7 linked regions of the Sus scrofa genome follow. The protein of the gene in region 7 interacts with the protein of the main gene of each other region in a biochemical or structural test. Links are inferred from orthologs where the notes say so. Each region holds a gene or a part of one and is shown on either strand. Other genes may lie near its edges. The genes, in order: CRHR1, SEMA4C, SIPA1L1, CTNND2, RALBP1, RPS6KA1 and DLG4.

Region 1 (4,583 bases), about 35 Mb from region 7:
GTAGCAGGGTTCTTAACCTACTGAGCCACAATGGGAACTCCTAGCTCTGTATTATTTGTCAAAGAAGTAATTTGGAATGGCCCAAACGTGCATGGATATAGGCATGGCAAAGAATATCCCCTCACAGGGAACAGAGATGTTGACAACCTCTCTCTGGAGGCTCAAGAATAACATAGGACAGACTTGGGCTGTGACAGTAATGGGAAGGCATTCCCAATGTCCACACCTGCACTTGAAAAAAGGCCTGCCGGGATTATTTTCAAAATGATAACAACAGCTGTTTTAGGAGGGTGAGATTGTAATAATTTCCCCCTCTGGTTTTCAAACTTTGTCTAATACTACTAGATTGCTTTCATGACAATAACAATAAAACCAGCTCTCTCCGCAGAACTCACTCTCCATTCATAGCCCCCTGCCTCCACACCTCACACTCACCCAAACCTGCCATTGTGAGCCACACTTGTGTCTCCCTGTGAGGAGCTGTGGCTGGTGGGCAGGTGACCCAGACAGCATTTCACCAGTATCCTCGGTGTCCACACAGACAGGCACACACACACGCATACCATCTCTCCCTCATTCACACAAACACACACACAAATCTCCCAGTCACCCACACACTCTTCCCCAATTCTCTGTAACCAGTACAGTGAGAGGCCTACACTAAGGGCCCCAGAGTGGATCTTTTCCCCATACTTGTGGAGGACATAGTCAGATTTTGGATGAATCCCACCTAGATTCAGACTTGCATTCTGACAAAACCACCCATGCTTTCTCTCATCTGGTACAAGTCTAGGATGAGATTTAAGCAGCTTAGAATATTTTATGGTAAAAGCTAACAAAAAAAGCCTTAGAGCCACAGTGCCTGGGTTTGAATTCTGGCTCCACCACTCACTGGCTGTATGACCTTGAACCAGGTACTTAGCCTCTCTGTGCCTCAATAATAATTCCTACTTCCCAGGGTTCTTATGAGGACTAAATGACTTAATATTTGCAAAGCAGGTAGAACAATGCTGAGAAAGTTATATATGCTACATAAATAAAAGGAAAAAGGTAATTATTTCATTGAAATCAGCATTAGCTGCCTCTCATTCACCATGGTATGTATTTATTGAGCACCTACTGAATTCATTAGGCGAGACTTAAAGAAACACACCTTACCACTTAGTAGGGAAAACACATACAATAACAGAAAAAAAATTTTCTTTTAGTAAAGCATCATAATTTTAAGCAGAGATTTGCATGTGATTCGAAGAAAGGTCAGAGAAAGAACATTTACCAATTACCATGTAAACTCAAAAACAAAAAAGTTCAATCTTTTGAATTATTTTAAAAGGTTGAATTGGGTCTAATTGATTTGCAGATTTAGGCCAAGTTTCAGTACACACTAGCCTTTTGGAAAATTTTACCATTCAATGCCATCTATTCTCTAGATGTTTTTATTCCTCCCTCCCTTCCTTGGTCTCCTTGATCACCCAGAAAATAATCTCTGGGTTCATCCCCAGTCCTCAGTTAATGGGTAGGGCCAGGATATGGGTTCAATTAGACCAATCCCCAGGCATTTTTAAAAATCAACTTATAAATATTCTAGAGAGGGAGGAAGAGGATGGAGAAAGCCTTAGTAACTGGTAACGTGTCAACTGATGACCTGGCAGCAGTTGCATTTTAAAATCTTGATGGTTTACCTCAAACCACTTTGTATGCTGATATACGTTCAGCTGGTTTAATAACTGATAGGAAAAAATGAAATTCAGTCAATCCGCGCCCCTCTACCAAATCCATTCAATTCTTAAATGCACTGAATCCAGTCAAGCTGGTGTCTGTTTTTCCACAGGCCGTCCACACTGACCCAGCGGTGTCCGGATCCTCAGGCTAGGGCCGCGCTGGACTCCCCCGCGGCAGCGCCGAGGCCCACCTACCCCTCGCTCTGGCTGCTGCTTCGAGCCTACACCTCGTAAGCGGAACCGCTTTGGGAATCGCTTGTCATGGGGAAGTAGCGGCTGGCACTAGCGGCGGGCCGAGCTGTCGACCCCCTAGCCTTTCCCTGGGCCCGCGGGCAGCCCCGGCCGCCCCCGAACTTCAGCGGACAGACGCTGGATGTGCGGTCTGGCGACTTTCCTAAACTCCGGGCGCCAGAATCGCGTCGCCAGAGCTCGGGCAGGAGGGAGCAGGCGCGGGGACCCGCGCGTGCAAAGGCTGGAAGAGCGAGCGTGGTGCTCCGGCGGGCGGGCCGGCGGCGGCGGCGGCGGCGGAACGGTAACTACCGCCGGATGCACGGTCTGCTCCCCGGAGATTGCGATCCAGGGCTCTCCGGCGCGGGGGGCATTTATCTCCCCGGACTTGCAGGGGCGGGAAAGAGCTCCCAGGGACAGGGCGGGGGGGGAGGGCGTGCAGAGTGGGGGAGTTGAAGAGAGGGTGCTGGGGCGGGTGGGAAACCCCTCTCCAGAGCCTCTCGTCCCGGAACCCTGGTCTACACAGGAAGGGTGGGTCGGTTCCCAACGCCTAGAGCGATTCCCGGCACAGAGCTGGTTACCCGGGTGGGCGTCCCCCCGCCTCCCGCAACGCCTACGGCCCGTCAGCTTCGCCACAATTTCTTTTTGCACCTGAGTTCTCCTCCCACCGCCCACCGCCCCCTCCAAAGGTCCTGGAAGAGGGAGTTGGGCTGCCCCTCAAACGCCGGCCGCCCCTGGACACAGTTCTTCTCAGTGACACCCAAGCCCTCGCATCACACCCACAACCCACCGAGCCCCGCGCCCCCAGAGCTGCTTGCGCTCGAAGGCTGACCAGCTCGCTCTTACCTTGACGAGCCGGAGCTGCGGGCGCCGTCCCATCCTCGGGCTCGCTCTACCGCCGTCCTGGATGCCTGGGTTCCCCGGACATCCCAGAGGGGCCGGCTGGCGGGTGCGGGCTCGGGCTGCGCGGGTTGGGCGGCCGGACTCCTGTGTCGCTGCAGGTCGCAGAGGTGCCCGGCTCCGCGGGCCCGCAGCCCAGTCCGGCGGGCTCTCGCTCTCCCCTTCCCAGGCAAGTCCGGCCGCCGCTTCCTGACTCAGCCTGGCCGGCAGCCGCCTCCTGCTCGCCGGGAGGCTGCCTCGCCCCCGCCGCCTCCCCCTCGGTCCGCGCCGCTACTCGTCTCGGCTCCCCACCCCCTCGCCTGGGCGTCCCCACCCCTCCCTTGGCTTCCCCTCCCCTCCCCTCCGGTCCCTCCTCCGCACCTCGCCCCTCTGCTCCCTCCGCCTCCTCGCCTCCCCAGTCCCCTCCCCTTCCCCGGGCCGCCTCCCCGCGCCCTCGCGGAGCTGACCCTCTTCCCCCAGCGCCCGGGTTTGCGGCAGTCGGCTGGGCGCGCTGGCAGCGCTGGTGGCCGCCGCAGCCCGGGGAGAGGCTGAGGGGCGGGGGGAGGCGGGAAAGGAGGCAACCTCCCGTCTCCTGCCCGACTTCAGGTTGGGGCCTGGGGAGTCCAAGGGCGTCCAGGGGGACTTGGGAGGCTCGGGTGAATCTCTTAAGAGCGAGGTTATCGGAGGACAGGGAATAGGGCAGCCCGAACAGAGCGGAGCCGCCGCGGAGACCGGGTGAGGCTGGGAACTGCGTTTGGACAATTCCCGCCCAAGCAGCCGGCCCGGAGAAGGTCCCCGCCGCCCCTGCCTCAGCAGGGCTGGGTTGTCGGGCTAGACCCCTCGCGCCTTTGGCACGGACACGCCAGGGGCGCGCTGAGGAGCGAAAGCTCTGAGGGAGGAATCCTTCTCATTCATTCATTCTTTTTCATTCTTTCGTTCGCTTATCTGTTCATTCAATCTACAGACTTAGAGCCTGCCCAGTTTGGTTTCGGCAAGGGGCTTCACCTGGGAACCCCAAGACAGGGGAGATGGCGGTGCCCTGACGCACTAGCCAGCATCTGAACGCCACTGAGGGGAAAATCGAGCGCGCACTGCGCTGCTGAGGGGAAAGAGCAAAGAATCCTACCCGCTGGGCGGGGAGAGGCCACAGCGCCCCCTCTCGGCCGAGCTCTCAGGGTAGGGGTAGCCTCCCTGCTAGAACTCCCAGTCTTCAGCCAGCTTGGCGGCTTAGCTCTCCCACCCGCCCCCAGCTCTGGGAAGCAGTTCTCGCCTCTGCCAAACCCCTTAAACGTTCCCCCCCAGCCCCTCCAGTTGTACAGAACTTTTGACATCTTCCATCTTTTCCTTCCTCCCGCCGAAGCTGAAAAGGAAGGTAGAGAAATGACTACTCCACAGAGCCTGGGCTTGCCATGCCAATGGCAGCCGCTCCAGAGAAGCTTCCAGAATGGTAGTCAGCCAGCTTTGCAATTAAACTCTGAACCTCACTGCCTTGCCCACCGCTTCCTCTCCTCCAGCCACTTCTCAGCACATTGAGCAAAAGCCAGTGTGTTCATGTGTCCAGCTGTTAACTTCACTTAGACGGGGAGTCTTGTGAAGAAACTGAGGCACGCTGAGAGGTGGTGCCCAATCCAAAGTGACAGAGCTGATAAACCTCCTGATTCCCAGCTCAAAGTGCCTAGGGGGCTGGGCCCCAGTGGAGTTTGGGACTCTGAAGTGGAGCCTGGCAGTGCCCAGAAAGCCAGCCGATCACACTGG
Region 2 (4,632 bases), on a different chromosome or scaffold from region 7:
CCACCCAGGCCTCCCTGGCAGTTCCCAGCCGGGAAGGAGGCAAATCTGGGCTGGTGAGAAGGAAGGAAGGCGCTCTCAGCCACCGCTTCCGGCCAGAGGAAGCCATTAGGCTGGTGGCTCTCACCCTCAGGGTCAGCAGCACCTCCGGCTGCAGAGCTGGGCACCCCCACCCTCACCCTGGCCTCCTCAGCTGCTGCTTCCTTCTTTGCTCTGCTGCCCGAGGCCCTCCTTAAGGGCCAGCTAGGCACTGGCCCCTAATCCAGCAGGACAGAACGGACAGAAGCTGTAGGTGCTCCTTATCTTAGGAAATCTTTTCCTCTAGTGAGACCCAAATCCAGGCTGCTAGAGATCCAAGCAGAGCTAGCCATGGACCAGGAGGGATGGCAGGAGATGGAATCAGGCTGGGAGGCCAGGGGAAAGCAGAGGTGGGGACCAGAGGCCCTCGGGGCTGGGAAGCCCTGCTGCCACCCACCATGCAGGGCACCAGGACATCGCAACATTCACCGGATTCCCACGTCAGTCCCCCAAGTAGCCAGCGACCTGTCCTCAGGGTCCCCCTAAACCAGCCTTAGTCTTTAGAGCCAGCAATGGGGCCAGACATAGGCTGGCCAGGGAGGGCTTCGTTAGCACCAAGAGGAGCCTGTGGGAGGTGAGCTCATCCAGGTCCCCAGAGTGCATGGATGATACAAACACCTGACATCACCTCTGCATACAGGTGTGTGCGCATCCAGGGCCGCCAGACAGCCTGAGTGTCAGAGTAGCAGAGCAGATCTATCAGGGTTGCTAAGAGGGCTCCTGGGGGCAGAGAGTTAGAAAGACTTTGGTGCGGAGGGCAGGATGGGGGTGGGGGGACACCCTCTGTTTCATACCTATCCTGGCTCTCAGTGCTAGTGATGCTTTTAGAAGTGAGGCACAGGGAGAGCGATGCAAGATGGGCGCTCTCTCTCGCATAACAGGGGCAGCTTAAGTGTCAGGAGAGGTACCCCAGGGCCTGGCCTGGATTCCCAGTTCTGGGTCCCTGACACCTCTCTCATTTCTTAGAAAGCTGTGTCACATACATCAGTAGGCCTTGAGTCCAACTGCAGAATAAATCTGACACATTCTAGAGAACAATTCCTTAGCACACCCTTCCCCCTGCAGTCCCTCCTGGCCCCCCGCGTGCCACCCTCCAGGCACTCACCCCCAGAAGAGACCGTCTTCCGGGGCACCAGGTTCCACCACACCTCAGCCTCAATGCCCAGGCCCCACAGCCCCACTGCCAGCAGCCAGAAAGCCCAGTGCGGGGCCATGGCACACGCCCCACCTCTAAGCTCCAGGCCAGCTGCCCTGCTGGGGGAAAAGAAAGGGTCAGAATCACAGCCAGAGAAAACAGACCGAAGGGGGCCCACACAAGCCATGCCAGGAGGCACTGACTGGACCGAAGATCTGATCAGGCCTCTCCAGGACTTCCTCCTCCATTGCCCCAGAGCTTGGAGCACAGACCCAGCCCACGCCCACACCTGGGTTCAGCCACCACAGCCTTCAAAGGACCATGGGGTCTCCCTGAGGAGAACGGGTGAGCTGAGTCAGCTGGAAGAGTGGACACCGGAGAAAGGCCGGCCTCCTAGCCCTCCCCCACTCCTCCACAGGAAGTTGTTTAAGAAAATAAAAAGGGGACCCCCCCCTTCCCCCACCCAGGCCTGACAGATTGTAAGGATTTCTTAAAATAACCTCTGGAAGCAGTACCTACACGGGCTCCAGCCAGCCCCAAGACCTATTCTGAGGCACAAACCCCTTAGCAGGGGGATGAGTGTGTAGTGGGGTGGTGGTGGGAAAGGCCCTCCAGGGAGGACTCGGTGCCTCGGGCAAGCGGGGGTCCAGGCGCCAGTCCCTCCCCTCCCCCAGCGCAGACAATGGCCAGGCAGAGCCCCCAGCCCCTTTCCACATCACAGGGCTGAAGTGGGGCCTGGAGCTGGTGGGGCCCCGCTTCCCAAGGCCCCTTTGTTGCCCACGAAGGGAGGCAGGAAGTGGGTGGGATGGGCGTGGAAATGACCGGGGCCTCATCCTGTTCCTCGCACTGCCTCCTAGATAGAAGACACCAGCCCTCAGGCTGAGGGGCGACGGGACAACAGAGCCAGCTCTGGTCTCATCAGGGATCTCCCGGCGGCGCTTTCAGGCGGGGGCGGGGGGGGGGCGGTGAAGACCGGGTGGATAGGGCCACGGGGGTTCCTCCCGGACCGCGGGAGGCTCCTCGAGTAGGGCCGGCGCGCCTGCTGTGCTACCCGTCGTCTGATGAACCTTCCCAACTCAGGGATTGCGCCCCCCGGACCCCAGCCAGGGCAGGCCATCTGGATTAATTTCCACTGCTCCAGCCCTGCAATGCTGGCCACAGAGACACTGAAGCTACGGATGTGCTCACCCAAAAACAAAAGGTCCCCGCCAAGACTCGGTCCCCGGTCGCCCCTCACCCCGTTCTCCCCTCCCCCAGCTCCGGGGATTTGAATGCAAACAAAGCGGCGGCGCTGGGAGCGTGGCGGTGCCCGGGCTATGGACGCCCCCTGTCGGCCCAGTACCCCAGCGCGGGAAGGGCGGGCGACCTGGGATGCGTTCACCCCCTGAACCAGTCCCCCAACACACCCCCAGCCCTCCCTCGGCCCCTTACCCAGGCCCGAATCGGACCCCGCGGCGCACTCCGATGCTCTGCTCGCACAGTGGTGCCCCTGCTCCCAGCTCCTCCCAGAGCGGGGGAAACGGGCAGCCTTGCGGTGCGGGGGTGGAGGGGTGCAGGATCCCGGCCTCGCGCCCCCGACCCTTGCCCACCCCGAGCGGCGGGCCGTGGATGGCACCCCCGCGGCTGCAAGGCGAGCGCTCCAGCCTTTCCAGGACAGCCCGCCTCCCCAGCGGAGCGGAGCGGGCGGGAGGCTGGGGGGCCGCGGCAGGGAAATCCGATCCCACAACATCGGCCTCCGTCCAAGCCCGCCCCAAACTTTCCGTCGGAGGTGGCAAAGCCGGGGGCAGTTCGGGGACCTGGAGAAGATCCCGGCCTCGGACCGGACAGCACGGGGGACCCCCGCTCCCCATGACCAGTCCGCGCTTCCGGACCCTGTAGCGAAGGGAATAGCTTGCCCCGCTTACGAGCCCCCGCGAGGCAGCCCGCGGGGGGCGTAAGAAGGCACTCGGGCGGACAGTTGTCCCTGCCGCCGCCCCTCCCTGCGCCCCCAGACCCTGTCCCTCGCGCGTGCAGGCCGCCCCCTCCCGAGTCGGCGGACAAAGCAGCGGGCCGGAGCCCCTTAGCCCCGGCCCCGGGCAACCCCGGCCTCACTCACCTCTTCTTCGCGGCTGGAATCCCTGGGCGCCGCCCTCGCGTTCGGCTCCGACCACGGTCCGCCCCTGCCCGCGCGCCGCCGCCCGCCCGCGCGCGCCCGCCCGCCCTGCTCCGCTGCCCGGCTGCCACCGCCCCTCGGCCCGGCTCGGCTCGGCGCCCCTGGGCTCGGGCTCCCCGCGCCACCGCGGCGGGCGCCGGCTCTTTCTCCCCGGCTGCCGCCGCTCTCCGTCCCCTCCCCCTGACGTCAAACAGGGTGGGGGGGGTCGGCGGAGGCCGGGGGCGGGACGCGAAGGCCCGCCCCGAGGGGGGCTGTGACCCGCCGCGACCCGCACGCCTCGCCGCTCCCCGTCCGGTGGCTCGGACCCCCGCCCCTCCCGGTGCCCTGCGGCCCAGCGCCTTGTAGTCATGATCTGCGCCACCGCGCGGGGAGGTGGGACAGAGGAGGGACTCCGGGCCCTGGCAAGGGGAATCGGACTTACCCGGTCTTTCCGAAGTGTCCCCTAAGGCCAACCGCTCGGGCTGGGCGACCTGGATCGGGAATGGGGCTAAGGCGCTCCCTACGCTATGGTTACAGGAACGAAGGCAGGCGAGCCACCTCGAGGCGTGTATCCGAGGCTTCTCTTCGGGGCGGCCCAGAGTGGTCTTATTTGGACCCCCAATTCTGCATCGTTTCTTGGCTTGACGCCTGACCCCTGGGATCAGACTGGATCGGGCCTCACCAGCCAGGAAGACCCCCGAGCCTCCCTCGAGCTTCTGCCTGTTGTTTCTCACGCTCCAGGCAAAGGGTCCCACTCAGCGCCCCTTGCCTGACTCCGGCAAGGATAAACCCCGGCTCCTGTTGCACAGAGCCTACCCTCAGGAAATGACTCCTCTGGTGCCACTGGAAGGCTGAATAACAAGTGACATGAACCCTGATGTTCAGATGAAAGGGGTTGAGGGGAGCCAGCTGGAGAACTACCACTCTCAGAACCGCCAGCCTCCGCCCACAGCCGCTCCTAGAAGTAACTTGTAGCTCTGGTCTCCTGGGTGGTGCTAGGGTGTCTTTGCCAGCTGGTCCTCCAAGCTGGACAAGTGGACAGAGGAACCCCAGGGAGGCCACCTCATGGGGACCCAAAGACAGATGCCACCTCCTGTCTAGGGCCAAAGGGCAGAAGTGAAGAGACTGGAGGCAGAAAAGCTTCCTGGTAACATTAAGCCCTGTGCAGTCCTGTAGGGGAGGGACACTTTAGGGCCCCGTCAGCAGATTTGGATTATAAATCAGTCCTGGACAGGGGCTTTTGTTCTGGGTTAAAACTTGGCATCTGAAAAGTGGAGGCCAGAAGACCAGT
Region 3 (3,314 bases), on a different chromosome or scaffold from region 7:
CCCTCTTTTCTGAGTACCTTCAAACCTCAGCCAGCCCACTCGGAGGCCTCTCCCCGCCTCCTCATCCCTGGGCCATGACCCAGCCCCACCTGTCCTTACTGTTATTTGGGCTTTTGCACAAGAGAATTTTTCTGTTAAGACAGCAGCCACCAGACCGTCATCTCCATGTAAGACAGCCCTTACCCCTTCTAATTTAACAAAGACATTAAACTACACAGTCCTGTATTTACAGTCCAAAATAAACCTCTAGTGGATCTCTCTAGCAGTCTTGTGCCCTGGGAGAGAGCATCTGAACGCCCAGTGCCAGCCACGGAGACAGCAGCGGCTGTTTAGTGGAAAGAAGGGGAAGTGGGCGAGGGGTGCACACGGATTCACAGCCACTCCCTCCAGCTGCTGGGCTGGGCTGGGCCACTCTCTTAAGTTCCTTTCCGCTCTGCCCACTCTTCCAGGAAAAAGAAGACAAAGCCCACCTCCAGGCGGAAGTTCAGCATCTGCGGGAGGACAACCTGAGGCTGCAGGAAGAGTCCCAGAATGCCTCCGACAAGCTCAAGAAGTTCACCGAGTGGGTCTTCAACACCATAGACATGAGCTAGGCCAGGAGGGGGGCCACCCGCCAGCGGAGGCCTCCTCAGCCCTCCCTCCCCAGCTCCCGACTCGCCCCCTTTCGGGGAGTGCACACCACGACAATTGCAGATCAACAATCATTATCTGCCTTTTGTAGAAAAGAGAAAGAAAATGGTAAATAAAAATTTTAAAAAGTAAAATAAAAGTTTAACTGCTAAAATGTGAATGTCTATTTTTTTGCACAATATCTTTATCTGTTATGTATTTAAAAAGAAACTGGGCCCAGGGCCAGGGCCTCCCCCTGGCCCATCTCCCTCTTTCCATCAGCTCTTTCTTATTTCAGGTACCCCGAGCTTTCCCTTGTTATTCTGACAAATGTCATTGTTCCTAGGAAAATAAAGTTTTCAACTGTTTATTTGGGGAGGGGGATTTCCTTACCTTCATTCCTACAATGCCTGGGGAGGGAGGTGCTTTTAGAAAATGCCTACCTCCCTTGAATGGCCTGTGCATGAGCCAGTGATGTTTGTCCCTGTCTCACAGAGATCAGCAGGATGGGTTACTTAAGGGTAGCAAATGAGTGAACCAGAGAGCAGCAGAGCTAGAGCCTGCAAGCCAAGCCGCGCCCCTTTTCCATCCTGCATTGTGACAGCACGACTTCCTCCTTCCTTCCTGGGGAGATGGTCCAGGGCTCTGTGCTCCTCGGCAATGGAGCCTTTTTACCTGGCTTAAGTAAGTCCCTCTAAATTGGAGTCAGCCTTTCTGTGTCTTCCTGCTTCCCAAAAGTAATCAGTTTCAGAATTCCTCCAACTTTTGACCAAAATGCATACAAATCATAGGTTTATTTTTTTGGAGATTTTTAAAGATAACCATGTGGCAAAATAGTATTTGTAGCGCTCTCAAAATGATTGTATTAATACATCCTTCTCTCCAAAGCAAGGCTTTACCAGTATTTGTAACTAGGAAAAGCAAACGTTAAATTGTAAACTTTAATATTTCCTTGTTCGGAGCAATGACTGTGATAGCAGAATGGGCTTTTGAGACCTGCATGTCCCAGTGTACAATTTCAGCCCAGCATTTTCTGCATCCTCGTGTGGCCGTCCACAGGATTCTGTGGCAGAAGTGACTGATGTGCTGTTTTTCTATCTAGTGATGCAGCTGCTTTGGGCCCCTGGCCATTGTTCTAAAGCTCTCAGTCCTGACAGCACAAGAGACACTAGGTCACCAGTGTTGAGAGACCCCAGGGGAGGCCCCGGTGGCCTTGTTTCTTGCCTTCACAATGGTCATTCAGTGACTACCTGTGCCCCTTTCAGTGGCAACTCTGGTCTAAGGGAACATTCAGCCGTCTAGCGGCCTCTGCTCGGACGTTCCCTGCTCCGAGTAATCTCAGCCCATTCCTCTCTCCATCCCTGAAAGAAAAGGGACGGCTGGCCCTCTCTTCTCCCCCACCTGCATCACCAGGCTTTTACGCTACAGCATCAGTCATGATTGTGGTTTAACCGTGGGATTTTTTTTTCTGGTGACATTTCTACCAGGGAAATGGGAAGATTTCCGAGTGCTTTGTGACGATCTCAATTGTCTGTCTCTTTCTCTGACTTGTATGAAGGAGATTGTACATTGCCTGATAGCTCTTTGTAAATGAGAACTAGCGCTAACATCCAAGCATTCTGAAGTCTTGCTTGTCCTTCTGAGTTTAGGTTTTATTTTTGTTTTACATTTTGTTTGGGGACTTGGGGCAAGCTATTTATTAGAGTTTTGCAACAGAGTTCTTGTTCAAAGCCTTTGAGGACTACTTGTAAAATTCAAACAATAAAATTCATTTTAAACGCTCTTTTAAAACGCTTTCGTATTCTTGCTTCAGCTTTTCTTATTTGAAAGACTACCCAGGAACTCATGGACTCTCCTGCTATCCCTGTTTTTCCATTGGATGCCTTAACACCCAAGATGATTCCTACAAGGTTATGCCTTTTAGACTTTTAATAAGCTTTCTCACTCTCTGGTCACATGTCCATAGAGAGTTCCTAATTTGCCTTCTCTGCTTATGATTTAATATTTGCAGAGCACTGTAGAATTAGTTCCCTCTTCATTATCCGTGTGTGGATCATCCTGAGACCAGCACATTTTTGGACTTCGCTACTGCCTCTCCCATCTCTCAGTGTTAGATGTCGTATGCCTAGGGCATACCAATGGCTGTTAATATTAGGGTGTGCAAAATATAATTAGAAAAGTTAATCTACTGAAAAAAGTCACAATGCATTCCAAAGCCAAATGGAACCAAATTTTTGAAATCTACCACGTCACTGTTCCTCTCCAGTGGTGCAGCTAATTGAGAGCTGCCAGTTGAGTTTCTTCCTTTTCTCTAGTTCAACAGTTTCTACAGATTTGAGAATTACAAGACAGTGTATGACCGAGTGCCGCAAGATGCTCTGATTAGCAAGCTAAGCAAGTCTGTACACCATGATTCTTACCTGGTCTAGAGGGTTTTTACATTATTTCTGAAGGGCTTGGATGTGGGTTGGGTGTTCCTGGGAGAAGATGCCACTGAGCTACATTGATGGAGGGTCTTCGGCCTCGAGCTGACTGGAGGGGCTGATTGGTTGTGCTCCAAGTCTGCTGCAGGGGAGAAACAGATTGGGTTGGGTTGGATACTAATTCCAGATGGATAGAAACAGTACAAGGGCAAAGGCAATAGGCCCAGCAGGGGTAAGCAATTTGCCTTTAGTTAAATCTAAGATGATGAGCTGAAGAGATTC
Region 4 (4,117 bases), on a different chromosome or scaffold from region 7:
GCAATGCTGGATCCACAACCCACTGCGCCAGGCCGGGGATCAAACCTGCACCTCCACAGAGAAAAGCCAAATCACCAACCCACTGTACCTCAGCGGGAGCTCCAGATGCTCCATCTTTTTTGTTTTTGTTTTTGTTGTTGTTGTCTTTTTAGGGCCACACCATAGCATATGGAGGTTCCCAGGCTAGGGGTCAAATTGGAGCAGCAACTGCCGGCCTATGCCACAGTCACAGCAACATGGGATCTGAGCCGCATCTGTGACATACAGCTCACAGCAATGCCAGATCCTTAACACACTGAGTGAGGCCAGGGATAGAACCCACATCTTCATGGATACTAGTTGGGTTCATTACCACTGAGTCATAATGGGAACTCCCAGATGCTCCATCGTTATACTTCTGGCCTAATCTCCTCATTGCCAATCCCTGGGAATCTGCCAAGGTCTCCAGGACTTGCTGGCTGCTCAATCTTGCCAAGCCACAAGCACGGCCAGATGTCCCAGCCCTCCACCCTGTCCCCTCATGTCACTGGCTCCGAGGGAGAACTGCACTCAGTGGAGCTCACCTGTCATGGTGTCCTTTCGGGACGTGTGTTCTCCTTTAGTTCCATGATAGGTGGCATTGCTGCCAGTGGACTCGTAGTCTGTTTTCCTTTCTTTGAGGCTGATCATTTCCCGAGGTGAAGCTGGGGCACTTGCTACATAAAGAAATTGAAAGGATGAGTTTCTGCATCTTACTGCACAGCATGCACAGCTTTTCAATATGCAAAGTAAAAAGTGTATGGGCTCAACATAGGTCAGTCTGCATATGTGCACCTGTCATTTTTGTTGTTGCTGTTGTTCTTTGGGTCCCTGTCTTCGCCCCCTTCCCTTCCCTGACTCCATGTCACTTGGTGATTTATAGTTAAGGGGACACACGACTTGGAGGCAGGGAATTAAGGGTTAATTCTTGGGTCCTTCTTCTCTAGAAAGACATCTTCACGGGGAATTGACCTGCTCAAGGTGTAAGGACAGTCTTAAGAATGAGATCCATTTTGGTTTCTTTTTCTTTGTCTTCTCTTTTTCTTACCTTTTCCTCCCTCCCTTCCTTTCTTCTTCCTTCTTTTTAAACAATCAGGTGTGTTTCAGAGGAGCTTTTACTGATAGAGCAAAATCTCTGATTAAAACAGACTCAATTTGGAGTTCCTGTTGTGGCTCGGTGGTTAGTGAATCCGACTAGGAACCATGAGGTTGCGGGTTCAATCCCTGCCCTTGCTCAGTGGGTTAACGATCTGGCTTTGCCGTGAGCTGTGGTGTAGGTTTCAGATGCGGTTAGGATCCCTCGTTGCTGTGGCTCTGGTGTAGGCTGGCAGCTACAGCTCCCATTAGACCCCTAGCCTGGGAATCTCCATATGCCACGGGAGCGGCCCTAGAAATGGCAAAAAAGACAAAACAAACAACAACAACAACAACAACAACAAAACAGACTCAGTTTTACTACTTAACCACTAAGTCATGCAGAATTGCCCTAAAGGAAGGCAGAGGAAGCACCTGTCCATAGAGGATAATTTGCAGGGCCAACACATCCCCACCCACCAAGGTTTCCCCATCGTGCCTCGGGCTGGGTTGGAGGCATGGCACAGGGAGAGGTTTCTCTCGTGAGGGGCATCCCTGTTCCATCTCAGATGTTCCCAACAACCTCTCATGCACACCTCGCACGCTGGCCACTTGCTGCCTGTCAGACCTGGGGACTGAGCCCTGTCAACCCTTTGTGTCTTCATTTCTAAAATGCTGGGTTGTAGTTAGAGGAATCCCCTGGAAATTCCACTATTCTTTAACACGCTGGTCCCAGAACAAAGGAATAGCTGAACTTGGACTTAGGGGTGCAAACAAAAAGAGGTTTTGTTTTTTGAAAATAAGGATGGATGGGGGGCAACTAAGCAGCCCTGCCAGTGCAGGATGTGTTGGGAGAAGCTGAGTTAGGTGTGTATGCCTGCACTGAGGCAGCCATCATGTGCCCATCCCACAGGCTGGCCTTTACTGGTCTCCGTGCTCCTCGATGAGGCCACCCACATCCCAAACTTAGTCAAATGCATCCAGCTCAGGCACAGTGCTCTTCTGCTCCAGAGCTCTCCCCGGCTTCCAAGCCCGAGGGCACTGCTTCATAAACTTGGGACTCGCCTGAAAACTTGGGGATTCTAAAACACCAACCCAGACCTTTGGAATCACAATTTTCAGTGGATAGACCTAGAAATCTGTATTTAGTGCGCATACTTGGTGATTATTAAGGCCAGGGTATCTCTGGGGAACTGTGATGTTGGGATAAAGCTCTCTTTCCTTCACTAATGTCCAAGCCCCTTGCCAGTCAAGCCTCAGTTTACCTGTCAGCTGGCTATTCACACCCTCTGTAGGGTCCCTAGCTCCAGCCCCTTGGCCTGCATATCCCCTGTCTGAGTCACTTGATTCATCACAGCAGACTTAGTATCATCCACGTGCAGAGCCCCGTGTCAGACACCGGGAGCAAACGCACAAGTCACAGCACACTTTCTAAACTTGAAGAGCTTGTGACTTACAGACCACCCTGCAGAAGTCACTGCCAAGTGCTGATAAGATAACAGAGGGGGCCTCTGCCCATCCTTTCCTGAAGGGCCCCCTGCCCACCTCTCAGACCTGTCAAGTAAAATCGGGGCTCACTGCTCTATTCTTGAAACCCTCAGAGGCTTCCATTCCAATCCTGGCTGCCCATCAGAATCAATTACCTGGAATACTTGCAAATATAGTGATACTTGAAACCCTCATGGACCAGGGTATAAATCCAATGGGAAGAGATGGAGGAAACCACAACTATTCCGCGTAACTCAACTGGGTTCTGGGTTCAGTTCCTGCACCTTCCCAGAACAGCCGCTGCTGCGTCTCGCTCGCCCCCTCCGTCTCTGTCTCTGCCCTCCTCTCTCTATCCTCCTCTCCTGGGACAATCCCCGCCTTCCCTTGCTCCTCCGCTCCCAGGTCTTGCGCCTAAAGGCTGGCCTTTTATGAGTCACTGCCAGGCAATCACGAAGAGATGACATTTTGGAGCCTCTTGATCAAAGCTTTTAAAAGTGGAATCTAATATGGCACAGATGGTGGGGTTTATTAACCACATCAAGTGTGTAATTATCTCCTGAGACCTCTCACACAGTGGTCCGAGGCTCCAGTAAACCAGGATGACACTCCTGGAAAAATCAAATCACGCCAATGAGTGTTTGTTAGATGTCTTGGATGTGCCCCGCCTGGGGACCACCAGGCAGGGCCTGGCTGCACGGCTGGGACGCTGACATCCGGAACCGGTGCTGCTTCCCATTCTGGGAGCCTTTCAATCTATTCTATTTCCATGTTCCTAACACTGATTACTTTTTCACAATTAGAGATTTTAAAAAGCCACCATCCTTGCGCATTCCAAACTTGCTACTCTTTATCTGTTCAAGAATTATGGACACAGAGAACAGATGTGTGGTTGCCATGGGGGAAGGGGAAGGGAGTGGGATGGACCGGGAGTTTGAGGTTAGCAGATGCAAACTGTTACATTTAGAATGGATAAGCAGTGAGGTCCTACTGTCCAGCACAGGGAACCATATCCAGTCTCCTGGGACAGACCATCATGGAAAATAGTACATGAAAAAAGAATGTGTCTGTGTGTGTATATATATGTATGACTGAGTCACTTTGCTGTACAGCATAAATTGGCACAACATTGTAAATCAACTACACTATAATAAAAAATTTTTAAAAAGAATTACGGAGATAAGACGTATAAAAGGCCACCTCCAGGCTTTTGAGGTAGGTGGAAGTTTCTGGAGTTACACAGGGAGGGGGTTCTAGTTCTCTTTCAGTGTAGGGCTAGATGTCACAAGCAATGATGCCACACTAAAAATGTAAGCTTTCATGGGAGCTGGGGGAGGGCAATGTATTTCAGTCAAATTTCCCATTCATTTCTGACTTTCCCCATCGTTCTGACAGGAAAGTGTGGTGTAAACGTTTATGACAAACAGTCTCAAGGACAGAGAGGCCACCCTGCTGGGGAGTGCTCTGTACCGTGGCCTTGGCAATGTAGTTCCAGAAATTATTGTTTTCTCAGCCTGAAGAGGGGAGCAAAGGGCAGGGA
Region 5 (4,682 bases), on a different chromosome or scaffold from region 7:
AGCTTAGGCCCTTATCTGTCACCTCAATATCTGTCACCAAAACTCCTCACCAGTCTTCCTGCATGGTGCCTTACTTCCCTCCACCCCTTCTGAAATCTATACGATACCAGAATGATCTTTATAAGATGGAAAGCTTATCATGACTCTTTCCTGGTTAAAATCCATAAGCTCTATTATTATCTATGAGAATAAAACAACCTTGAGAATCCTTAGAATGGCACAGCCCACTTGAAGATCTATCTGTACAGTGTCATCTCCTGCTGCTTAGCACCATACACCCACCGCTACAGCTGCTGAGAATGCCCCACACTTATAAGGGTGCAGGCTTGCTCTCATCAGGTCCAACTTTTCCTTGGCCTGAATTTCCTTTCCAGTGATCTCTGTCTCAGTCATGCCTAAACCTTCTTTAAGTTTAAGGACATCAAGTTCCTAATACAATGGCTACCACACAGCAAGAAGTTAAAACGGATTGAGCTGGCTAAGGCCTCTCCATCCTGTCTCAACAACTCCTGTTTGCTTCAAGATAAATTACTTTGCTTATCTACAGACTACTCCTAATTTGGTCTCTGCCTAAGTTCCCAGTTTCAGATCTTGCCACCACCCTGTACCCTTGCTATCTATACCTGCAGACCCTACGATTCACGGAAGTTGAGACTCCTGCAGTTTCTCCTACCTAAATGCCCATGCTTTCTGTGCCTGTACACCTACCGTTTTCATCCCCTCCAATATACACTTTTTCTTCCTAGTGCCCCCTTTCTCAATCTTTCCTTCTCCTCCCTTAAAAATAAAATGACCACTACCTCCTTTGTACACCCACTGTGGCCCATCCTTTCTCCAGTGAAAATGATCTTAAAAACACATTGGACTTGCAGACAGTTCAAATAAGAGATAAAGTCTTATCACACAGAAAGCAGGGACAGTACCTTATCTATCTCTAAGCCATCTTCACAGTACCTGCTACACAAAAATTCCTCTACACTAAGTGATCTGCAATTTCCCATATATTAACAAAAGTTTCTATCCCAGATTTCCTTTCAAGAAAGAACATACTTTGGGGTGACATTCTGGGCCCAATCTTTCCTTGCCAAGCAAACAACTGTATAAATCAAAGTTAATATGCACTTTCTAATACCACTTATATTTTTCTAAATTAAAAGAGAAGTGGTCCCTGGAGGATGTAAAATGAGAAATGCTATTTTGAAGAAAAGATCATAAATTATGTCACCTTGCTTCAAGATACTTTGTTTAAAGAATTACTTCTCAACAGTTACTGTCAAACGGGCTACTATGAAAAGTGGGAACCCTTCTACTAACTTCCTACCTCGACTACTCACCAATTCAGTTTACAGCAATTACGCATTCTCAGGAAAATACTCAGAAAGGAATTAATTAATCATCTAGAAAACTGGAAAGGCAAAAAGTGAAGTCACCTTTCTCATTCAGAGGTCCACTTATTCTTTTAGAAGTACTGCTGCCTCCAGGACCACCAAACCACAAGTGGGCCTGTCCCTTATGACTTCTTGAATATTCCGTGAATAACTGCCCAGTGGGACAGAATGTCACCCAAGGGCCGCAACCCTGGGACATGCACGCTCCGCTCAATAAAAAAAAAATCGGCGAAAGCTCTGCTAATGGGGCGAGTCGGTGTGTTAACTCAGTGTCCAAATGACTGTGCTTCTTTCAAAAGAATGTTCAAAATCCCTCGAATTAGTATTTTAATCACCTTCCAGAACTCCACCAGGCCCGAGACATGTTGCTTGCTCAAGAGGAAGGCTCTGGGTCATGAATCCCAGAACCTGAAGCAGCATAATGACTTCAGGTAAAGCAGAGGTGCGGGAATTTTGTAAAACCTGTTTCACTCTCACAACGACCAAGCGTGGGGGGTGGGGGGTATGCTGACCTCAATAAAGCCTTTAAGCACAAACCTAATAGACAAGGTTGTGAAAAGAATTTTCCCCTCGGATCGGTCCCGCGGAAGCCCCGGAGCTCTGCCGCTCCCGCGCTGGCGGTGGAAGACCGCGAGCCCCTCCCCGCCCACCTGGCAGCACTAGAGGCCGGTCACAGTTCCGCTGCGGTTACGTAAAGGGCCGAGTCCCCAAGCTCCATCCCCGCGCTCAGTGGCTGCCTGAGGCAGAGCCCCAAACCCACCCTCCTCCCCTAGACCCAAGAGCCCGGACACACCGCGGAGTCCCGATAGGCCAGCTGAAGAGCGGGAGAGACCGGCAGTGGGGGCGAAACGCGGAGGAACCCGCCGGGTCCAGCCCGCTAGGGCAGCCACGCCCCCGCCCCCGCCGCGCCGGCCAGGAGCCTGGCCCCGCTCCAGGCTGACATACGCCGCGACCCCCGCCCACCCACCGTTCGCCACTGACCTGCGCCCGCGCCGGGTGAGCGCCTGCCCTGCCGCAGCCGCCGCTTCCCGACTCTCACGCCGCCGCCGCCGCCGCCGCAACCACCTCCTTCGCTAAGCCCTGGGCCGGCCTCTGGCACCCCATTCCCACCCCGCCCCAGCCTCCGCCTGTTTACAATGATTGGGACAGAACCGGACGAGCCGGGCCAGCGCGCACGCGCACTCCTTCCCCGCCGCAGCCGGCTTCCCGGGTCCCCAGCTCGGCGCTGAAGGCCGGAGCCGTCGAGGGCCGGCGCCCTATGCCCCCAGCGTGGAGCACGCTGGGAGCGGTAGTCCACGGAAACCCATAGCCGAGGCTGTAGGCAGTCCTCCGCCAGGAAGCGCACTACAACACCCAGGAAGCACCACGCCTGCCCGGTCCCGGCGCCCGCTGGGGAGAGCTGGGAGCGCGCGAGAGGACGCGCCGGGCTCGAGTCCGCTGGCGCCTGCGCAGTTCCTGGTGGTGGCGGGCGACGCGCACCTTGCCCAAGCGAGGTCTGCGAGGATCGCTGGGGCGGTGCTGGCCGCGGACTGGAGGAGGGCAACGTGTTTCTTAGCTGCGGAAGCTCAGACCTTCCCGCCGGCGGGTTTCAGCCGTAACCAGTTAAACCGGCCCGGAGGCCGGCTCGGCCCGCTCTTGGGTGGGGCCTCCCCCCGCCCCGATTGGGCGCAGAGGCTTCGGCTTCCGTGGGGACTTTGGCTGCGGGTTGCGGCACAGGGAGCGCCGTGGCCTCCGCGGAGAAACTTGTGTAGACTCCGTGCCGGGACTGACCTCGGCATCCCTGAAATTAGTGTCCAGAAGGCAAACCCTCGGGTCTTGCGGTGCAACGGGGTCCCAGTTCCCACCGCCTTCTCTGGCTCGGCGTTTCCCGAGGAGCTCCTTAATTAGAACTGCCCATCGCACGGTTAGCTTGCCAACCAAAAGCATTGAATCTAGAAGAAGACCAAAATAACCGTACTTCCTCCAGAACGCCTTCACAAAAGCTGGAAGAATTGTGCTAATGCATGGCTGGAAACCAGGGGCCTTTAACTGTTACTGTTTCATAAAGTGTGGCGGTTTATTAGAGGAATGATAAAACCGGAATAGATGGCGCTTCCCGATCCTCACATTCCCACCTGCGATGCTCCTCTGAACTTCATTCCATGTTTAGATTGACCTCTCTAATCCATCTTGCCTTGCTCTTTACTCAAGGCTAACAGTAGGTCTCCCTCGTACTTTACATTTCCTTCTCAATAAAGTGCAGCCACCTTGTCTGACCTTCAAGAAGAGCCCACAATTAAAATACCAAGTTGGGAGTTCCCGTCGTGGCGCAGTGGTTAACAAATCCGACTAGGAACCATAAGGTTGCGGGTTCGGTCCCTGCCCTTGCTCAGTGGGTTAACGATCCGACGTTGCCGTGAGCTGCTGAGCTGCAGACGCGGCTGGGATTCCGGTTCCTGTGGCTCTGGTGTAGGCCGGTGGCTACAGCTCTGATTGGACCCCTAGCCTGGGAATCTCCATATGCCAGCAGGAGCGGCCCAAGAAATAGCAAAAAGACAAAAATAAATAAATAAATAAAATAAAAGCTTCTGTTTAAGTCTGGAGATACATGAATCTCCAGGACCCATGAAAACTTTTATCTGAAAAAGGAAAAATAAAAATAAAAATAAAATACCAAGTTGGTCTGTGCTTGCCATTGTTTTGACAGCTTTAAAATTTTCTTATTGCCTCACTGGCAACAGCACAGTGTCCTCACCACTGGGATCGATCGGCACGTTAACCAAGCCAGTTAGAATACTCTGCCTTTGGCAGCACCGACTGGGCCAAGGGATAGGACTGATCCAAGTTGGGCATTATTGACCCCTTGCTGGAAATTGTTATATGAACACAAAAAAGGGAGGGAAGATTGCATCTTACTGTAGCAACAGCTGACCGCCACCTTCTTCACAACAAAAAGAGGCCTTTGTGCAGCAGCAATGAATGAAGCCAAAAGGAGACTTGGAGTGCTAGTGGAGGAGGGAGGAAACAAACAGCTGACCGCATGGAGACTGTGTTTCAGTTTCAGAGGGCATGGCTAGCATACCTCTTTCTAAAGTGCTTTGAGTATGTGAACCTAGCCGAGAGAGCCAATGCAGCTATTTATTTATTATTATTTAGGGCTAATTTGTGTGGTTATGGAACATATTTGTTGGTTGCCTCCTGCAATTTATTCCTCCCATTTAAGCCACACAGCATAATTCTTCCTTTTGGTGGTGGAGGCTTTCAGAGATGGTCACCTAACTCAGTCAGAGCCGACGAGATCCACTGAGACTTGGG
Region 6 (3,884 bases), on a different chromosome or scaffold from region 7:
GAAACTGCTCCTCCCCAACTTCTCCCTCAGTACTCAACCGCTCATGTCAAAAATCTAGAAGCTGGAGTTCCCATCGTGGCTCAGTGATTAACGAATCCGACTAGGAACCATGAGGTTGCAGGTTCAATCCCTCGCCTCGATCAGTGGGTTAAGGATCCGGAATTGCCGTGAGCTGTGGTGTGGGTTGCAGATACAGCTCGGATCCTGAGTTGCTGTGGCTCTGGCGTAGGCTGGCGGCTACAGCTCTGATTCGACCCCTAGCTTGGGAACCTCCATATGCCCCAGGAGCGGCCCTAGAAAAGACAAAAAAAGACAAAAAGACAAAAAAAATCTAGAAGCTATCCATGAATCTCCTCTGTCTCTTAGCCTCTACATCCAAAGTGACAGCAGGTGCTATCTAACATCACCTCCAGAACCCTTCCCGACCTTGTCTACTTCCTCCCCATCTCCACTCCCACCACCCTGGGCCAGGCAACCTTATCTCTTCTGTAGCCACCAACCTGGTCACCTGCTTCCTGCCTGCCCTCTCCCCCCATCAGTTCGCTACACATTCGTCAGATTGATCTTTTAAAATATATAAATTGGGACTTCCCTGGTGGCACAGTGGGTTAAGGATTCGGCATTGTCACTGCCGTGGCTGAGATTGCAGCTATGGCGTGGGCTCAAGCCCTGGCCCCAAACTTCCACTTGGTGTGGGTGTGGCCAAAAATAAATAAAATCATAATCATAAAGCATCTACTTCACTGTGCCTGGCACTTGGTCACCGGTGGGTAATAATCTCATTACTGTTATCAAGACCTTGCAGGAATGTGTGGGCAGAGCCAGCGGGACTCCCACATGCTCCCCAACAGAGCTCCAAGCAGCTGGGCTAATTGGCCCTGGCCGACTACTTGTCACTGCCAAAGTCCTCAACACCCAGCAACAGAGGGAGGACAAACCCAGGGGTGAAAAGCAGAGGCGAACATGCTTCAACTCAACTGTAATTTTATTAGAAAGGCCATGGACAGATAAGCCCTGAGTTACCAGCTGAGGAAGAAATGAAAAAAGCCCCTGCCTCTCTGGGCCCGCCCCACAGGCCTCCTGTGAACTCTGTCCTGTGGCAGACTCCAGCAGAAGTCAGCCAAAAAGTGCTTTCCGGATGCTCCTCCAGGGGCTGCCCAACCTGATTGCAGGGGACCCACTGGAGGGGCCCGGGTGGATGCTGGTGCCTGGAGCTGGGAGCCACGGGGCCTTGGTCCTCTCCTCTAGCAGAAAGTGGTTCCAGACCCCGGAACAGAACAGAACAGAAAAGGAGCTGTTGGGGACAGAGCAAGTTCTGCGAAACAGCCAGCGGCTCTGGAAGGTGATGCTGGCTGCCTCGGAGGTGGGCACAGCTGGCTACAGACAGCCAATCGTGGGGAACCCCTTGGGGTGACCCCAAAGCTGCTGTAAGGAGTCTCAGCCACAGAGAGCCATAGTGTGACTCAGTTCCCCTCCTGGGGCCGCACTGGCTACTTCTGCTCCCAGAAAAGTCAAGTGGATTCTGTAAAAATCCATGGTGGTTGATGCCATTTTTCCTTAAAAAAAGATGAGTCTGTACAGTGGATTGATTTCAACCAGCAGCAGAGCCTGAGCTGAGAAGAGTCCATCCTGGGGAAGGAGAAGGCACTTCTCACACCCTCACTGGGGTGATCGGGGCTGGCTGCTTCCTGGGCCCCTCGGGCTCCGCTCCCTTTGGCCCTGTGACTCAGGCCTGCTCCCTCTGGGAAGTATGCTGCCTCCATCGAGCTAGCACCGCCCGGCGCCTGATGCTCTGGCCCCTCACAGGGTGGTGGATGGCAGCTTCCTCACCCGCCGCTGGGCCAGGATAGATGACTCAATGGGCTTCAGCTGAGGGGTGGGCTTGGAGCTGTTGAGCGCAGAGTATGTAGCTGCCATGGCGCCCTGGGAGGGAAGGTGGGATGTCAGTTCACCATGGTGGGCGACACAGGTGGGACGGGGACACGTGCGCCGGGGGCCAGGCCAGCCTCTCTCAGTGTTCCACAGCCCACTCTGTCCCCTGTTAATCCAGCCTTGGTGGTTCTTCAGAGTCATCAGTCCTGCCTCCTCCATCGGACTGGAGGTTTCAGAGGGCGAGGGGCTGTGCCCCCCAGAGGACTGAGGGGCTGTGCGTGCACTGCTGACAGCCCTGACAGGGGCTCCCTGAGGACAGACGGACATGGCATTGCCCGGCTCTCCCACCCCAAGTCCTTGCCCATGGGCCCTGGCCCGGGCCCTGAGATGCCCGGCAACCTGGGGTGGCTGTACCTTTACAAGCTGCAAGTCCTGGTGGGACAGCTGGCTCTGGGGAAGCTTGTCTTTCTGCGTGATCCATGGGTGCTGCAGGACCTGCTTAGCTGTGAGGCGTTGGTGGGGGTCCACGTGCAGCATCTTGGACACTAGGTCCTGAGGGAGGAGCAGACGAGGGCATTGGCGGGAGGGGTTGGCAGGGGAGCAGGCAGCTGCGTCTGGCTGATGGGGCGACGGCTCAGGAAACATCTCCTGCCGTCTCCTGCCTGAACCCAAGATCTGACTCTTCTGCTCATCAACTGCATTTCCCAGGCAAGTTAGTTCAACTCTCTGAGCCTCCATTTCCCCTCTGAGAAACAGGATAACAGAAACACCTGACTCATAAGGTTAACCTGAGGTGGCGCTATTCATCAAGGACTCGGCCCCGTGTCTGACACACAGCTTCCCACCACTGGAACCTGATGCTAATACTGAAAGTTCGGATGTTCCCTGGGGTTCCTGTGATGGCTCAGTGGGTTACAAACTCGTTTAGTATCCATGAGGACACGGGTTCAATCCCTGGCCTTGCTCAGTGGGTTAAGGATCCGGCATTGCTGAGCTGTGGCGCAGGTCACAGATGCAGCTCGGATCCCACCTTGCTGTGGCTGTAGTGTAGGCCGGCAGCTGCAGCTCCAATTGGACCCCTAGCCTGAGAATTTCCATATGCTGCAGGTGTGGCCCCAAAAAGCAAAAAAACAAAAGAAAGGAAAAAAGAAAAAAACCCCAACTCCAAAAAACCAAAGATGTTCCCTCCTCTAAGGCCCAGAACACCGGAAGGGCCAGTGAATGATCACCACATTGTCCAAACAAGGTAGGGGGCAGCCTGCCTGGGAATCTTCCACTTGGAAAAATAGAGCAACAGAAATTTGTGGGACATTCCACCTGGAGAAATGAAGCTGCGAGTCACCTGCTCAGGAAAACGCTGGCAAGCCCTGGGACGGGACCCTGCCTCCCCACCCCCTAAGTGAGCAGGCTGCAGGCATCACACACTCACCTTGGCTGCATCCGAAACCGTGTTCCAATTTCCCCCGCTGAGGGTGAACTTCCCACTGCCGATCCGGGTCAGGATTTCCTCCGGTGTGTCACTGGGTCCGTTGGCAAATGGAGTATATCTGGAGAAAAGTCCACCCGACCTGAGTCTAGCCTCTGGCCTCCACCCTGGGGACTGTGTCTCCCACTTCAGACTGGGTGCTCCCAAAGGCAGGGCTGGGTGCCTTCCCTGAGACAGGCGCCCTGCCAGCCTGCACACTAGGGCTGGAGGAAGGGGCAGGGGGTGGAGGGGGTCCAGGCTCACCCCGCCAGCATGGTGTAGAGCAGGATGCCCAGGCTCCAGATGTCGCAGCCCTCGTCATAGCCCTGGCGCTTCAGTACCTGGCAGTTAGGAAGAGAGGGGAGGGCCGTCAGTCCGAGTGGCAGCGGCGAGTGGCCCCATATGCTTGCTTGCTGCTCCCCAAAGGGTAGGACAAGGGTCCCAGGCATGGGCTGATTCTACCTGGGCCAAGGCCACAGAGACTAGAGTCCTGGATGGTATGGGGCCTCTGGAGGGGACCCTGGCCTCCTGTACCAGGCCCCCTTGC
Region 7 (4,117 bases):
TCCGGCCCCTTCCTTTATCAGTCTCCTGCTCTTGGCCTCCATCCTAATTTCTGGCTCCCTGACCTCATCCTCAAACCCTCAAGATTCTGTGTGCCCAAATCACACTTCTTCAACCCACTTTCCCTACCCTCTGAAAATTGAGGCTCCTCCCGGCCCCCCAGCTCAGGCCTTAGCCCTCCCACACGTATGACCTCCAGCAGGCTCTCCCTCCACTTCCTCTGTCTCCTGGGCCCAGATTCCACCTCTCCTTCGCGCTGTCCTGACTACCACCCTCTCTCCTCTCCCCCTTCCCCAGGGACTTAATGCCCCATCTTGGGAATACAGCATCTCTAGTCTTCCCTTCACTCCAGGCAGCCCCCAGAGTTTTACGGGAATACTCTGCACCATCTCCCCATCTCCAGGGCCTTCCTTTCCTTCCTCTCAGCCAGCTGAACCTTCTGCCCTGATTTCACCATCCCATCCCTGTCTCCTGGCGCAGGACGCCTGACCCTCTGTCATCCCTCCTCTTTGCTAAGTGCCAAAAAATGGTCTTTCCCTCCCTCTCCAATTCTTCTCCTTCTCACCCCAGAACCTCCTGCTGCCCCCTCCCTGCCTCCTCATCCCAGGCTCAGAAAAACCTCCGCCCCATCTTCTTGGTGACATGTCAACAACTTCCCACCTCCCAGGGCACCCCACAAGATCCCGTAATCTCACTCTGGACCCCACAGTGTTCCCCTGAATCTCACAGCTGGCCTGGCACACTCCACCCCTCCCCTCCAGCCTGTGCCCCCAGAAGAGGAGACTGAGGGGGAAGAAGATGGGAAGTGGTCCAGAACGGAAGGTCTCAGAAACAAGGCCTCCCGGGCCTGGAGAAGAGAAAACATCCAAGGAGCCCAGAAGAGAAGGGGAAACAGGTGGTGATGAATAGTAATGGGGGGGGGGGACCCAGGGGGCAGAGAAAGAAATCTGAGTGGAGGTGCGAGCCTGAGAGCAGGAGAGAGGAGAGGAGAGAAGCGGAGTAGGGAAGGGGTAACTGGGAGAGGGGGAGCCGGCTGGCCCGAGGCAGAGGACGGATGAGGCCGCAGAGGGCCTGAGCTGGGGACCAGGAGAGGGGGAAGGAGAGTGCGTGGGAGGAACAGAGAGACCGCATCCAGCACCAGCCAGCCAGCCAGCCAGCCAGCCAGCCAGCCAGCCAGCCAGCCGGTGGTGGGGAGGGAAAGGCAGCGAGGAGGGGAGGGAGCACAGGAGGGGTGCAAAGGCCAGAGCAGGGGAGAAAGGGCCCAGACTAGAAGTCTCAGGCCAGACAGATGGAAAGGGCTGGAGAGCCAGGCCCAGAGGCAGGATGTGGGGGGAGGAGGTGGCCAAGGGACAAGAGCGAATGAGGGCAGCAGGCACTCTGAGCAGAGCTCTGGACACAGAAAATGGAAACGGAGGTGGGGGGTGTGAAGGAATGAAGAGGGCCTGGGCCCAGGGAGGGTCCTGGGGGATGCACACATCTCAACACACGTACACGCAGACACACACACACACACACACACACACACACACACGCCCTGGGTGTAAACTACACCCACTCCCCCTTGCCTGGCCTCTGTTTCTCCTCTGTGGGAATCAGGTGTATCCAGAGCCCCAAATGTCCCCTCCCCCCATCCCCAGGAGCCCAACCCAAATCCCCCCCCAACGTCCCAGCCTCCCCCCACCTACGGCTCTCGCCCTACCGGCCCTTGGGGGTTGTTGTAGCTCCGAGGCTCCGGGGGCCGCACTGGGGAGGGGGCCGCCTGAGTCTCCTACCTTGAGGGGGGAGAAGTGGGCGTGGCCCACGACCCCTTGGACGGCCTCGAGGTGGGACAAGTTCCTCTCCGCCACGTGCACCAGCTCGGGGGCGTTTACCTGGTTGGGGAGGTGGGCCGGGCTGTGCTCCAGAGGGGGCGTGTCTTCATCTTGGTAGCGGTATTTCTGGGGATGGGGACGACGGAGGCGTCACGGGGGCCGGCCCAGCGCCTCGGGCCCCAGGCTGCCCGCCCCAGCGCGCCTCCGCTTCCCCCGCCAGTGCGGTGCGCCAGGCCCCGGGGCCTGACCAGCTCCTCCCCCTCCCTGTCCTCCAGCCCATTGGCTCCCCTCTCTCCACCCTCCCCACAGCCCCCTCTCCCGCCCGGGCCTGGGCACCTGCCGCTGCTTCCCAAACCCCAGCCTCATCCCGCAACTCCTCCAGCCCACAGCCTCGGACCCCGGCCTGCTACCCCACACGCTCGCTCCTCTGGGGTCCGTTGCTTTCCCCCTTTCCCAGAGCCCCAGCCCCTGCCACGTGCGCCCCCCCCCACCTCGTTCTCTCGCTCCATCCCCAGGGTCTCTGCTGCCCTCAGCAGCTTCACCCACGTCCTCTTTACCTTAATCCCACTCCCATATGTAACTCCCTCCTCCGTCCAGTGCCCCCCTCACCCCCCGCCCGGTCCATCCCACCCCACCCCGCCCTCCCTGCCTCCACCTCCCGCCTCTACCCCGGAAGTGAATGGCTCTCCAGCATCTCCCAGGCGGGAACCGCAGTCAAGCACTTGAACTAGCAGGTTCTCGGCCTCAGCCCCTCAGGCTAAACCCGTCCAGCTCTTCCTCCACTGGCCTCGCTGGTTCCCAAGCCGTCAGCGAAGGGGCCCCAGGAGTCTACCCCATCTCGCCAAATGCCCACAGCCCCGCCAGCTAATCGGATATACTAGAAGAAGAGGGGAGGGAGGGGGAGGAACAGAGGCAGAAGGGCACAGAAGGGGGGCAGGAATGGGTGCCAACTTCCAGGTTTGCTGACTGCGGAGCCCGGTAGAGCCTCAGAGCGAATTCCCGGTCTCCTTCCAGCTTTTTGGAGGGAGAGACCCAATCTGACTCCTGACTCCCTTCCTAAGTGACCACCTGCCATCTCAAGGGCCTCCTGTCCTAGCTTAACAGGGACACCCGTAAATGAGATTAACGGGGCCAGAGAGAGAGAGAGAGAGAGAGAGAGAGAGAGAGAGAGAGAGAGAGAGAGAGAGAGAGCAGCTGGAGACAACAGTAGAAGAGTAATGACAGGCAGCACCCCAGCCTGGGTCTTCCCAGGTCTGCCCCTGTCCCCACAGAAGCAAACCCTCCCCAACTCCAGGCTCCATGGAGGAGGGGAGGCTCCCTCAGAGACTGCAGAAGCCAGAATACACGCCCCGGTACTCATGGGTAAAAAGCAAAGGCAAGAGTTCCCTCTCACAGTATCTTAGACACTGAGAAGACCTCAACGTTCACAGAAGAACGGTTAACTAGATCAAACTGGAGGAAGCCGATCAAGGTCAATGCCTTGATCGGCTTCCTCCAATAGGTAGGATTCTGAAAATTCGGAGGAGGAACCAAGGCTGAGGCTGTAACCCAACTTCGGCCTTGGTTAGGATGAAGTCAGAGAAGAGGATGAGTTAGACGGTGTGACACAGAGACATGCTGGCATCCGGGAGCATCCTGATACATTTGAAGCGCCTTAAAGAAAGCAAGCAAGGGGCTCATCAAGATAGGCTCTGTTTACTGGCCTTGGAGAGAGACTTGACTTGGAGACAGACTTAGAAAGAGAATTCAGAACTCCAGGTTTCAATACCACAAGTGCAAGAAGTGAAGTTAGGGGGAAGCAGAAGCTTAAATTATCCCCCTCAAGGCTGGGCCATTTAGGAGCTCCCATTGTGGCTGAGCGGGTTACGAACCAGACTAGTATCCATAAGGACATGGGTTAGATCCCTGGCCTCATTCAGTGGGTTAAGGATCCAGTATTGCTGTGGCTGTGGCATAGACTGGCAGCCACAGCTCCAATTCGACCATGACCCCATGCTGCAGGTGTGGCCCTAAAAAGCCGAAAAAAGAAAAAGAAAAAGAAAAAAAAATCCTGGGCCATCTTGGATAACAGAATTCCAGGAATTGAAAGAAGTTCTTCCTTCCACACCCTGAAAATGTGGTCTTGAGCCTGGGCGTGCCCAGAGCTGGGGCGGGATGGGGGGGAGAGGGGGGAGGAGCCAGTCCGCCTCTCTCACTTCACCAGGCCCCCCCATTCCCTACCTGACAAAATGAGGCCAGACCCAGAGCTGCAGCTTCCAGTTTTGGAGTCTGGGGGAGAGTTTGAACCCAATGCCCCTCCATCCCCACC

What was found.
Region 1: the proteins of DLG4 (region 7) and CRHR1 form a complex in vitro, tested with the Homo sapiens proteins (2 studies listed by BioGRID and IntAct, with this or other methods). The link is inferred for Sus scrofa from reciprocal best matches to the Homo sapiens genes DLG4 and CRHR1.
Region 2: the proteins of DLG4 (region 7) and SEMA4C form a complex in vitro, tested with the Homo sapiens proteins (2 studies listed by BioGRID and IntAct, with this or other methods). The link is inferred for Sus scrofa from reciprocal best matches to the Homo sapiens genes DLG4 and SEMA4C.
Region 3: the proteins of DLG4 (region 7) and SIPA1L1 form a complex in vitro, tested with the Homo sapiens proteins (2 studies listed by BioGRID and IntAct, with this or other methods). The link is inferred for Sus scrofa from reciprocal best matches to the Homo sapiens genes DLG4 and SIPA1L1.
Region 4: the proteins of DLG4 (region 7) and CTNND2 interact in a test that uses a peptide from one of them, tested with the Homo sapiens proteins (2 studies listed by IntAct, with this or other methods). The link is inferred for Sus scrofa from reciprocal best matches to the Homo sapiens genes DLG4 and CTNND2.
Region 5: the proteins of DLG4 (region 7) and RALBP1 interact in a biophysical measurement, tested with the Homo sapiens proteins (2 studies listed by IntAct, with this or other methods). The link is inferred for Sus scrofa from reciprocal best matches to the Homo sapiens genes DLG4 and RALBP1.
Region 6: the proteins of DLG4 (region 7) and RPS6KA1 interact in a test that uses a peptide from one of them, tested with the Homo sapiens proteins (2 studies listed by BioGRID and IntAct). The link is inferred for Sus scrofa from reciprocal best matches to the Homo sapiens genes DLG4 and RPS6KA1.

Annotation. Positions count from the first base shown.
Region 1 is NC_010454.4:17,303,178-17,307,760, forward strand, and holds the start of CRHR1 (corticotropin-releasing factor receptor 1), read right to left. Parts: upstream 3,132-4,583; 5' UTR 2,829-3,131; coding exon 2,796-2,828; intron 1-2,795.
Region 2 is NC_010445.4:56,750,326-56,754,957, reverse strand, and holds the start of SEMA4C (semaphorin-4C), read right to left. Parts: upstream 3,300-4,632; 5' UTR 3,061-3,299; coding exon 2,642-3,060; intron 1,330-2,641; coding exon 1,181-1,329; intron 1-1,180.
Region 3 is NC_010449.5:95,166,329-95,169,642, forward strand, and holds the end of SIPA1L1 (signal-induced proliferation-associated 1-like protein 1), read left to right. Parts: intron 1-449; coding exon 450-593; 3' UTR 594-2,400; downstream 2,401-3,314.
Region 4 is NC_010458.4:524,457-528,573, forward strand, and holds part of CTNND2 (catenin delta-2), read right to left. Parts: intron 696-4,117; coding exon 564-695; intron 1-563. UniProt on the Homo sapiens protein: Has a critical role in neuronal development, particularly in the formation and/or maintenance of dendritic spines and synapses. Involved in the regulation of Wnt signaling.
Region 5 is NC_010448.4:98,595,660-98,600,341, forward strand, and holds the start of RALBP1 (ralA-binding protein 1), read right to left. Parts: upstream 3,287-4,682; 5' UTR 2,370-3,286; intron 2,271-2,369; exon of another isoform or gene 2,182-2,270; intron 1-2,181. UniProt on the Homo sapiens protein: Multifunctional protein that functions as a downstream effector of RALA and RALB. As a GTPase-activating protein/GAP can inactivate CDC42 and RAC1 by stimulating their GTPase activity.
Region 6 is NC_010448.4:83,944,273-83,948,156, reverse strand, and holds the end of RPS6KA1 (ribosomal protein S6 kinase alpha-1), read right to left. Parts: intron 3,679-3,884; coding exon 3,602-3,678; intron 3,420-3,601; coding exon 3,302-3,419; intron 2,425-3,301; coding exon 2,287-2,424; intron 1,924-2,286; coding exon 1,801-1,923; 3' UTR 968-1,800; downstream 1-967. UniProt on the Homo sapiens protein: Serine/threonine-protein kinase that acts downstream of ERK (MAPK1/ERK2 and MAPK3/ERK1) signaling and mediates mitogenic and stress-induced activation of the transcription factors CREB1, ETV1/ER81 and NR4A1/NUR77, regulates translation through RPS6 and EIF4B phosphorylation, and mediates cellular proliferation, survival, and differentiation by modulating mTOR signaling and repressing pro-apoptotic function of BAD and DAPK1.
Region 7 is NC_010454.4:52,563,825-52,567,941, forward strand, and holds part of DLG4 (disks large homolog 4), read right to left. Parts: intron 2,632-4,117; exon of another isoform or gene 2,478-2,631; intron 1,936-2,477; coding exon 1,771-1,935; intron 1-1,770. UniProt on the Homo sapiens protein: Postsynaptic scaffolding protein that plays a critical role in synaptogenesis and synaptic plasticity by providing a platform for the postsynaptic clustering of crucial synaptic proteins.